Cricetulus griseus: one gene and its partners. The protein of the gene in region 2 purifies or fractionates together with the protein of the main gene of each other region. This does not show direct contact. Links are inferred from orthologs where the notes say so. Each region holds a gene or a part of one and is shown on either strand. Other genes may lie near its edges.

Region 1 (3,745 bases), on a different chromosome or scaffold from region 2:
AAGCTTTTTTATCCCCTTTGAGGAATTGAAGGTCCCTTAATGTTCTGCTGTCCCAGAGTAATCACAGGGTAGAAGCGCTTCTTCCGTGCCAGAGAAAGGTAGGGAGGGAGAAAAATAATACAAGTCTCTACTCCAGGCGAACTCCCTCTCGTCTGAGGAAATCCTGTGAGGAAACGCCACTCGGCGCGCCGATGAGGTTCTAGCTTTCATGAGAGTGTGTAAAGTCCCTCTCTCCCCCAAGATCAAATGGGGAACTCCCCTGCCTCGAGCCATTCAGCAGCTTCCTTTTCTGTGCTGCTGGCAGAGGAAAGTCCCTGTCTGCGCCCCCAAAAGTCTCAAGCCCCGGGGAAGGGGTGGTGCATTCCAGAACCACAGAACAGTCTCAACAACACAAGACAAACTTACACACGGACACACACACACACACACACACACACACACACACACACACACACACACACACACACACACACAGTCACACACAGACACAAAATTTAACGATCGATCGTCCTCTTCCGATAAGCCTCCAACTCTAGGTCTCTCTGCGTGAGACTCGAGAGCCACGGCCCAGCCGGGCTGCCCCGTTCGGGGCGATGTGCTGCCCGGCAGCAACCAGTCTCCCCCTACGCGCCCAGCGCCTACGGTCTCGGCTCGTCCTCGGGGCCGGGAAAGGCCACGGCCGAACTTCGGGGACGCCCGCTGCTCAAGCTCCAGCCGCTCGGGCCCCGGAGACTCAGAAGGCCACGATGGCTGTGCTCCAGGGGCTCATGTCTCTCAGCACCGGCTTGTCGCAGCAGATCTGCCCAGGCTCGGCGGCTTCCGGGCCGCTCTCCTCCGCCTCCTCTTCCTCCCGGCCGCCCGCAGGGCTTTTCCGTAGGAGTCCCGAGAAGCTAGAGCCGAAGATGCTGATGAGGTTTGCCACGTTCCCGGTCTCCATCTCCTCGTCCGTGTCCGTGTCCTCCTCGCCGGTGCTCGGCTGCTCTTCCGAGTTCCGGCGCGGCTTCTTGAGAGGGGTCGAGCCGGGCGCCGGGCAGCCAGCGCGGCCACCACCCACTCCCGCTGCGCCGCGCTTCCTGGGACACGGGGCGGGTGGCGCGGGGGAACCGTCCTCGGCTGGCTGCTCCTCCCGGGCCGGGGGACAGCCGCACGGGCGGCGCACTGCCCGGGGCCCCTCGGGGCACGTGTCCGGGCCGCCTCCAGAAGCCATCGCGCGCGGACGCTCCACGCGGCCCCAAGCAGCTGCCGCCGAGTCTGCCTCTCGGCCCGGGAGAGCGTCCCCAGCTCCGGCCACGGCGGCCACCGGCTCCGAGCTTCCCGTTCCCGGCGTGTGGCACACCGAAGGGCGCTGAGGCTGCGGCTCGGGCTCCGGCCAGGCGGCGCGGGCGGACGGCGGAGGCGGCTCTCCCCAACCGGAGGGTGGCCCGGCCACCGGCTCTCCGGGCTGCTGAGGCGGCGGCACCGTCGGGATACCCGTAGGGCCGGCCAGGTAGAGGCCAGGGCACGGGTCACTCAGGTAGACCTGGCGGGCGCTGCGCAGCACCAACGACACCAAGAGGTTCTTGTGTAGCTTGATGCCGCCGCGCTGGACCCGCGAGTTGTAGATCTTGCCGAGGGAGATGCTGACGATGCGGTGAGCCTCCAGCTTGAACTCCATCCTGCCTCCGCTTCTCGAGAGTGGCGCCTAGACGATGGGGTGAACGCCGAAGCTGCGAGAGGAGAGGGAGGCGGAAACAGGATCGCCTCTGGGGTGCACCCTCGGCGGCTGAAAGCTCGGTGGAGAAAAGACCCGGTGATGCGTAGCCCCCTCCGCCTCTTCGCCGCAGACAACAAACCTGATCTGCGTTGGTCGCTAAACTGAGCGGAACGAGCCCCACACAGCGCCTTATATAGACTCCTCGAACGCCAATCACAAAGCGCCGCCAACCGTTCTGGGCGGGCCGATGTGCCTCGTGCGCCGTCCCCAGCCAATCGGAGGCGGAGGAGGGGCGCCAGGGCCGGTTCAAACGTTAGTCCCGCGGAGCAAGCTCTTAAAGAGGGCGATCGCAGGCGGCCCAGGGACCAAGTGCGGTGGGATTTGGGTCCGAGGTAACGGTGAAGGTGAGTGAGGCCCACAGAACTGTCTGTCGTCACAAATTCCGATTTGTGAGCTGTCTTAGCCAACCTCACTAGAAGCGGACTATTGGAACTTTCGTTGGTTTGGAGTGCTGGAATCTACTACATAGTAAAGTTCGGCTCCTTTCGTGCGCAGTTTCCAGCTGCTCACACCATTTCTTGGCAGGAATAGAAGCTATGGCAATACAAAGCAGGGACAATCCTGAACGACAAACAGTACGAGGTATTTGAGATATTATTTTGGAGTCAGATCCTTTCCCATTAGCGTCACACTTTCAGCATCTGACCACAAGCAAAAGGGGAGGTTCTAGAAATTCCCAAGCTTCTGGCCTATCAAGGAACAGTGTTCAAGTACAAAGTCATTGTTTCTCACCTAAAGCTGGCATCTTTCACTTAGTTCCCTAAATTCTCGGTTGTCACACAGATTAAATGGAATAAATAGGAGGTGTTACCTACTTCTCCGAAGTGTTTGCTTGTTTGGTTGTTTTTATTTGTTGTTTGTTTATTAACACAGTAACTGAACTAATCCACACTTGGGGAAATCTAGTAAGTTCTAAAAATACAAATAGAGAAGTTCTGGGTTCCCATAATAATGTTGTAAATTTGTTTTATGTCAAGCTAATAGTATGGGGAAAGGGTTCCATCCACTGAGTCTTAAAAGTACCTAGCAAAGGGGCCACAAGATTGTATTAGTGCCTTCTGACTTTGTAAATTACCTCATAGTCTTTTAGTTTCAATTCTAAAAAGGAGAAATCATGTATACACCCACTTTATTATACAAAAGATGCATGACAACTCTTAGACACCATAAAATTAAGTGCCACTTTCATGGAGCCTGTGTGCAAAGTTGACCTAATCCCACAGTAGGGTTTCTCCAAACAATGTGTTTATGTAGAAAAAAATACTAGTGAGAGTAAGGCTTGACCACAGGAGAGCAGCTTAGTGAGGTTCTGATAAGAGCCTGCTGCATTACAAATGACCTGTTCAGGGGAACACAGAGAATGTACCAGGTAATAGTGCATCTCATGGGTACATTTACTGATGCCACATAATAAGTGGTACTTAAGACAACTGCACAGAGATGTCCCATGCTCCTGTCTAACACAGTTTGCTTAAATTTATTGCCAACTGACAATCCATCTTGAGTGGACTCAGTGACTTGGCTAGTGACCATGGACAGGTGCAGGACCTGGGTCTTTCAAAGCTTTCTTTCTTTCTTTCTTTCTTTTCTTTCTTTCTTTCTTTCTTTTCTTTCTTCCTTTCTTATGAGTGCTCTGTCTTCTCCTATGTCTGCAGGACAGAAGAGGGCACCAGATCCCATTCTAGATGATTCTGAGTCACCATGTGGTTGGTGGGAATTGAACTCAGGACCTCTAGAAGAGCAACCAGTGCTCTTAATGACTGAACCATCTCTCCAGCCCCAAAGCTTTATTTATTTTAATCAGAATTTCTTTTAAATATTTATTTATTTTTGGTTTTTCGAAACAGGATTTCTCTGTGTAGTTCTGGCTGTCCTGGAACTAGCTGGCTTTCCCCATGCTGGGACTAAAGGTGTGCAATACCACACCCACCGAACATCATTCTGATTTTATTTTTAAAAAGTCAAAGGACATCAATCCCGTTCCTACCAAAT
Region 2 (3,645 bases):
ACAGGAAACGGCGCTTGCTACGCTGTACCCTGTCTCTTCTCATACAGCACCTTCTGGCCACCCAAACAGAAAGACTCCATTTGCCTCATTATTCAGGCATGCTAACTGAGGCTCTGCTTGTGCAAATTGTATCTCAAGTTATTTAATGCATACTACTTAAAACTGCCTGACAGAAAAAACAGTGACTCTTTTTTATCCACTTATTAGGAACAAGTCTCTCAAGGGCTGGAGAGACACATGAGTGTAACGCTGCAAGATGGGAAGGGACTTGCTTATGCTTCATCAAAGAGAAGGGTTCAAATCCATGCCTTTCTGCTTGGTGGCTCTCCAACTCCAGTCCAGATAACCCACCCCACATCTTCACTTCTCTCAAGATTTTTTTTTTTTTTTAACAGCAACAGAGTGGGTCCCAGTGAGCACTGATAGCAAGGAAACATGGCAGCTCTGTTCATTGCCATGGCTACAAACCCCTCCTACTGTGTTGCTGGCGTACTTACCATGATCAACCAGCCAGGCCATACACAAAGAGTTGAGTTTCTCATCAAAAAATTCCACACCCTGCAGGAAAAAAAAAGATTGGTAAGGGACTGAGGGGTAGGGAGAAGGAATTGAGGGAGGGGAGGAGGAAGGGGTCCCAGAGAATCAGGCAATGCTGAACCCGTCAAAGCTACCAGCCTTCTTCCTCTGCCTAAACTCCATGCAGCATCTGCTGAGGGCCCAGTTCCCGAGTCCAGTCCTCCCCACAGGCAGCTCTCAATGCCTACACCAAGGCTTCAAGCCCCTAGTAACTGCACCACAGCCCTGGTCCTGGGGCCATGACCAGACCAGATCAGACCCCCAAATCTATCACCTCAGGGCCAACAAAACCTGGCTCCTCACTCACCAGCTGTCCAGCCAGCAGAGGCATGTATTCAATGATGGCCAGCCGCACCCGCCACTTGGCATCCTCAGCCAGCTCCACAATGGCGGGGAGCAGGGACTGAGAGAGCTGCCGGATGCCAATCACCTCGTTCACGCAGTCCAGGTTGGAGATGATGTTCAGCCGTACCTCAGGGCACTTGGGAAGAGGACAGGCGGGTTAAGAGAACACAAAACATACGGCGGCCCTAGGAGCGTGTCAGGAGCAGGCAAGAGCTCCCCTCTGGGTATCGCCTGTGACGGGCAATAATCAAACAGCCATCTAGTCTCCCAGCAGCCGAGGCTCTGCAAAGTGAAATGGGAGCCCCTCGATGTGCCCGAGTTGCTAGTGTCTGGACCCATTCTCTATCATTCCCATCACTTCAACTGCTAATGCCAGACCAGGGAGGACATGTGATGAGTCTCAGAACTGCCAGACTCCAAGCAGTGCGAACCCTGATTTACAGTCCATAGCCATTCCCACTCATGCCACAGAGCAGAGACATCTATAGGAACAAACGCATAGACCTCACAGAGGCCACTGAAAGCAACTTTTCCAGAAAACCCCAAACCCAGAAGAGTTTGTTTTGTTTTGTTTTTTTTCTATGGTGGTGGTAATAGAAACTGGACCCAGAGCTGCGAATGTTAAGACCTTTCAAGTGACTTCACTAACTTTGTCTAAAGACTTCTGGAGTAGGAACAGCCTGTGAGGAAATCTATGTCCCAGCCTGGGAACTGGGTTGCCATTATAGAATCAGCTACTGGGTACTCTATCAAAGTGCTCCATTAAAGAATTAGAAGGGGGCTGGAGAGATAGCTCAGGGGTTAAGAGCACTGGGTGTTCTTCCAGAGGTCCTGAGTTCAATTCCCAGCCACCACATGGTGGCTCACAATCATCTGGAATGAGATCTGGTGCCCTCTTCTGGCCTGCAGGGATACATGCAGGCAGAACACTATACATAATCAATAAAAATAAATCTTAAAAACAAACAAACAAAAAACCAAACAAACAGAAAAAAAAGAATTAGAATGGGTAGCATCACTCTGGGCTGGCACCCCAAGAACACTGGCCCTTTCTCTCACCTCTCCCTAATACTGGCTACACTCTCCTAAAAAGATCTCTTTCAGCCACTGCGTTTGTCTACATATTCAAATCCAATTCCCTGAGCTGTCACCACAGTGACATCTTTTCTTTTCTGTGGTCTAGGCCACCTGCACAGACAAGTATGGTGACCTGACTGGCTATGTCAATGGAACATGTAGAAGACACAAGCTAGAGAGAAGCCCTTCAATGAGCCAAGAGATAAAATTATAGCTGTGACCTCAGACCAAGAAAGCCAGGCCAGCAAAGCTAATACCTCACCACAGGACCAGCTGGGACGATGCGAGAGGAGTAATGGTAACTTTCTATGCCACTGTATTAGGGGCTTTGTGGCACATGAGCCTAAAAACCATGGCGCACCTCTCCCAGTACCGACAGTATCTGAATGGAACTACGTCTGTTCCTCTCCACGGGAACACTCTGTGGGGCTGTAAATATCACCACCACTGTCCTGGTCTTTTTTATACCCTCAGCACTCAGGGGAAGGATGAGTGCAATGTGAAGGGCGCATGAAGCATGTCTAACAAGAGTGAACAAGCAGACACTCACACCTGTCGTTGAGAAGGGAGTGTGGTGTGTGCTGTGTGGTGCCAAGACTCTAAAATACTCTTGGTCAACCCGGCGAACTGCAGTCTGTCATCTCTGCAAAGAGCTGAAAACCTTCCTGGTACTATTACCTCATCCTTTAGCTGAGCCAAGAAGAGTGGCAAGAGGTGCTCAATGGTGTTGTCTTTGCCCAGAATGGGAGAGAGGCCCATGATGACTGAAGCCAGTGCTGACTTGACATGCTGGTTGGCATCTGACACGAGTTCCTGGGGAGGAGAAGGATGCAGCTCAGTGTCTGAGTGGCTGCACAGACCTCAGCCCTGCTGGCCTGAGGAGACCACACTCTCCCACGTGTAACATAGGCAGGGCAGCTCAGGCATGCACTGCACTTATTCACAAGTCCTCTCTTGTTTGCTATGTGAGCCCTGCTTCCAGCAGCCACTGCCCCATTCCCCAAGCTCTGTGGATGAGGGAACTCGGTGGCCTCTGAGGGGCAAACACACCCCTTAGGTCCTTAGGGTCAGTTGTGTAACCCTCACGATTTTGCCTACAGCCAAACCCATGATGGTTAAAACCCAGTTCCTGTGTGTCCTAGAAGGATGCAAATCTAGCTTGGATGGGACTGTACTGAAAACCAAATCTTCACCTCTCTGGCATTCTCAAGTCCTACACCCAAGTACGCCATTACCTTGATGCAGGGCAAGATCTGGGTCATGATCACATTCTCTCGGCAGTCAGCTGAGAGATTTTCACAGAACTCTGTGGACAGAGATGGGAAGGTGCTGGTGAGACGCCACGGCCCAATCCCATTGCTGCCTCTCCGACATCCACCCATCTAGCTGCGTTCTGGTTGCCAGCACCAACCTTTGACCTTGTGGGAGGCAGCGGCCCTCACCTCGGCCTCACAGTCCTTCATCAGGTTCTGGAAGGCGGGCACCAGATCTGTCTTGGTTATCTCAGGCCCTACTGCTTTCTGGAGCTGTACACGAAGAGAAGAGGGGCAGCGCTGAGAGACTGGCAGCCACCCAGAGCTTACGCAAAAACTGAGGTGAAGGCACCGGGACAATGCTAAGCCACAGCACTGGGGACCTGATCCCAGC
Region 3 (3,745 bases), on a different chromosome or scaffold from region 2:
GTTCCTAAGCAACAATCTAAATAGAATTTTTAAAAAGCCCTCTAAAAACATGCACTTTCAAAAATAGCCAACTGCTTTGGAGGCTTCACTAGCTTGATTCTGCCAAATGTATATATAAAATTCCACAAGACGTAAACCAATTTGAAATGAAATAAATCTCTCTGAGGCAAAAAGAGAATTCCTCACTATAATTAAAAATATATATTAAGTCCTTTGTTGGCAAAATATAGTTTTAATTTTTAACCATTAGAAGAAGAACAAGTATGACAAACAGGATTTCTCTAATTAGCTTTTCTTTAATAATAATAATAATAATAATAATAATAATAATAATAATAATAATAATAAGTCAAAGCCAGGCAGGGTGGTGGTAAGGACTACTAACCCCAGCCTTCAGGAGGCAGAGAGATAGGAGAACCATGATTTCATGATAAGCTTTAGCTACATGTGATCCTCAAAATAATAAAAAAATGCCAGTTTACTCAAGTAGCTAACATAAGAGTCCCCATATTTCAAGTCCAACTACTTGTAAACAATGAAGTCCAGTTTTACTGAATAAAAAGCCACCACATTCTTTCTTAAAAGTAGACAGTTACTTCAAATACCTTAGCACTGTTACTGCAGATTTGAAGCCTAAGGGATCCCTTGGGAATAACGGAGGAGGTCCCAGTCGGTGAGATTTTGCCTGGCTATTCTCCCTCAACCAAAGCAGAACAATCAAGCTGCCAACTTAGCAGCCTTTGAATCGGGCTCCTGACAATTTTAAACAGCCGACAGCAACACTGACCTTGTTGGCACAGCAGTATTCCTGACGATGCAATTTTGTTTACAGTCTTACATATCATAAACTGCATGCTTTGTGTTGGTTTGCCTGGTGGCCGAAATATCTTGTGGGCACAAAGCTGTGTATTCCAAGTAGATTAAACAAACTATCCACCCTCCTGGGGGGAGAAGGAGCGCGACCCCCACACCTCCACTTTCCCCCTCATGGAGAACAGGACACTCAATAGTTTCAGCTTCCCAGAGGGACTTTTGCTTTGATAGCCATTTTCTTCGTTGTCCCCGACTCTCAGAATGAAAGTATTTCTCAAGTGGAAAGGTTTCATTTGAAATATCTTTAAAGTTCTTATTAGAAAAAAAAACCCGCTATTTTTCCCAAAACTTTAGCCCAGAGTCTTCTATTTTCACCAATGGGAATTAGTACCTGACCCCTCCTATTCTCCTCTCGCAGCTCTTGCCTCCAGGTACCTTCCTCCACACCCCTGCCTTCTCCTCCTAGCAAGCCCTCCCTCCAGAGGGGAGGGAATTAAACTGCCCAGGTTGTTTACACCTGGTCCTGCCCAGCCCGGGTCTGGGCTCTGGAGATGGGAGATACGGACCTGGGCGTCCATGCCAGGCTGCTCAGCTCCCTCGGTCCCACTCAGAATCTTCCGAGAGAGCTGCGGGATTTGGCCAAGACTGGGAGGCGCTCCTAGACCTGCCTTTCTTTGCACATCTTTGCCGCTCTGGCAAAAGCTGTTTCCCAGACCTGCGAACGTTTTCCAAGCTGGCTTTGTGGGTTGAGACCCCCCAAGCGGGGCACAGAGGGAGTGGGAACCACCGGGGAGCGTCTGTGCGTGCAGACAACTCAAGAGTACCAAAAAAGGGAGCAGGTAGGCGCCTAAGCAAGAGAGGACGCTAGGGAAAGGAACAATGTGTTGACACCAGGTTCGGAAACCCCAGCTCAGTGCCACTCCGCCTGGGGAAGAAGGTCCCTACCGATGACTGATGGAGCAGCAGGCAGCTAGGACCCAAAGTGCTGGCGCTCAGTTGCAGCAGCACCCACAGCTGGGCGCGGGGCCTCTCCCACGGGGCGTCCTCCCCCCCCCCCCGAGACACACGAACCCCCGCACACAAAGAGCATCTCCACACCTGCCTGGCGACGGACGGGTCGCCTTTCCCTCGCTGCTTCCCCAGGTCTCCCAAGAGGTGTCAGGCACCCCGAGACTAGCATTTGCTCGGTGCCTGGCGGAGCTGAACAATGGGGGTTGAGATCCTCCGTGAGCACCCCAGCAGTGGGCAAAGGGGTCCCCAAGGACGCATGCGGGGAGCTTCCAGAAGGACCGACGGGCTCCTAGCACCTCGGGGGCGGCGGGGGTAGCGTCGCGCTACTCGAATCCGCTTCTGGCCTTGGGGGCAGGCACCCCAGGGAAGGGACATCCGAAGGGCACACCCCGGGGGAAGGAAGGGGCATCCAGGAGAAGAGGCACACCAGGGAGGGGGCACCCCAGAAGGAAGGGGACACCCCTGGGAAGGTGTACCTCGGAGAAGGAAATGGAACCCCGAGGAAGTAAGGGGGCACTCCAGGGAAGCACCGGGCATCCCTCGGGGAGTGTCCGGCGGGGACCGGGGCACCACCCCCAGCCCGCATCTACACCGTTCCCGGAGCCCAGGGAACTCGGTTACCGCGGCCTCCGCCGTGGCCCCCGCCGGGTCGTCCGGGGCGCGGGACAAGTCGGGCTCGCAGCTCGCGCCGTCCGTCGCCATCTTCCTGCTCTAGCGGATCCGAATGCGAGCTCGGAGCAGCGGCGGGGCTCTGCTCTCGGCGCGGGCGGGCGGGCGGGCGGCGCTTAACCCGCTGCTGGCTGCGGCCGCGGCGCTCTCAGCCCCGGAGCCCGGCCGCCCCCTCCCGCCTCCCGCGCGCACCGCCCCTGCCGCTTAACCCTCTGCGCGCTGCAGACGCCGGCGCCCCGCCCACCCGCTAGCCTGCAGCAGCCGCTCCCAAGGGACCAAGAACCAGCAAGCAAGCGAGCCGCGTGGCTTTGAGCTGGTGTTGGGGAGACAAACACCCCAGGATGCAAAAGAAAATAAGCTTCCTTTCCGGAGGCGATGGGCTGACAAACTCTTGACTTAGCAGGACACAAACCGAACTGGATGTCAGGCCCTTGGATGCTAAATCTAAGATCTACGGTCGAGGAACCATCATCCCTCACTTCGACTAGCTCCATCGAGGTGCCTCTCTTAATATTTCCCAACTCTTGCCTTCTGAACACTTCTATCCTCTTGATTTATATACACCCAGCTTTTTTTTTTTAATCGCATCTTCGATGCTCACCCTCTAAAACGATCAACTTTCCGCTGAAAGTCTGTGCCTTGCTGTTTTTAAGCCCCTCAGCTAGGTGCCTTTCTGTTCGATTCTCTTTTTAAGGAAGGTGGAGACCCCCCCCCCAGGGGTCCATCCAGAAAAACCACCAAGTATCAGTGATGTCTTAATACTTTTGTGAGAACAGCAACTTCTCCGTGCAGGTGAAAACCCAAATATACACACACAAACCTTTGACAAAATGGTCGATTGGAAATGCATGGTTGGGGAGTTAGCACGAATGAGTTAGGCCAAGACACTTAACTTCCCCCATCCTGCCTCTAATTCCATTCTTACTTTTTCCTGCCAACTCCCAGAATCTGAAAATTTATCACCTTGCTGAGACCATATGGTAAGGAGGTCCCTAAAGTTCCAGGTCCCTAAAGATGTGTTGAAAGCACAAAATCAAATGGAGGCATTCAAACTGTCTCTGTGATGTCATCAAATCAGTCAAATCAACCGACAACCCAATCCCACACTTGAAATTCTGGAAGATGAATGACTGGAATGTTCAGTCCAAGTGCACAGATCAAAGCCTTTAAAACAAAACAAAACAACCTGCTCCTAATGAGAAGTTCTGACACCTTAACTGCTCAGCTTTCCAAACTGGATCCAAGTATGACA

Evidence for each region. The genes of interacting proteins can lie anywhere in the genome.
Region 1: the proteins of Ppp2r1a (region 2) and Ier5 purify together in Homo sapiens (affinity purification with mass spectrometry; 3 studies listed by BioGRID and IntAct, with this or other methods). This does not show direct contact. The link is inferred for Cricetulus griseus from reciprocal best matches to the Homo sapiens genes PPP2R1A and IER5.
Region 3: the proteins of Ppp2r1a (region 2) and Cttnbp2 purify together in Homo sapiens (affinity purification with mass spectrometry; 3 studies listed by BioGRID and IntAct, with this or other methods). This does not show direct contact. The link is inferred for Cricetulus griseus from reciprocal best matches to the Homo sapiens genes PPP2R1A and CTTNBP2.

The regions. Positions count from the first base shown.
Region 1 is NC_048598.1:36,655,443-36,659,187, reverse strand, and holds the start of Ier5 (immediate early response gene 5 protein), read right to left. Parts: upstream 2,348-3,745; 5' UTR 1,655-2,347; coding exon 734-1,654; 3' UTR 1-733. UniProt on the Homo sapiens protein: Plays a role as a transcription factor. Mediates positive transcriptional regulation of several chaperone genes during the heat shock response in a HSF1-dependent manner. Mediates negative transcriptional regulation of CDC25B expression.
Region 2 is NC_048602.1:19,078,491-19,082,135, forward strand, and holds part of Ppp2r1a (serine/threonine-protein phosphatase 2A 65 kDa regulatory subunit A alpha isoform), read right to left. Parts: intron 3,525-3,645; coding exon 3,410-3,524; intron 3,305-3,409; coding exon 3,234-3,304; intron 2,812-3,233; coding exon 2,677-2,811; intron 1,058-2,676; coding exon 884-1,057; intron 559-883; coding exon 498-558; intron 1-497. UniProt on the Homo sapiens protein: The PR65 subunit of protein phosphatase 2A serves as a scaffolding molecule to coordinate the assembly of the catalytic subunit and a variable regulatory B subunit.
Region 3 is NW_023276806.1:208,097,560-208,101,304, reverse strand, and holds the start of Cttnbp2 (cortactin-binding protein 2), read right to left. Parts: upstream 2,636-3,745; 5' UTR 2,527-2,635; coding exon 2,446-2,526; intron 1-2,445. UniProt on the Homo sapiens protein: Regulates the dendritic spine distribution of CTTN/cortactin in hippocampal neurons, and thus controls dendritic spinogenesis and dendritic spine maintenance.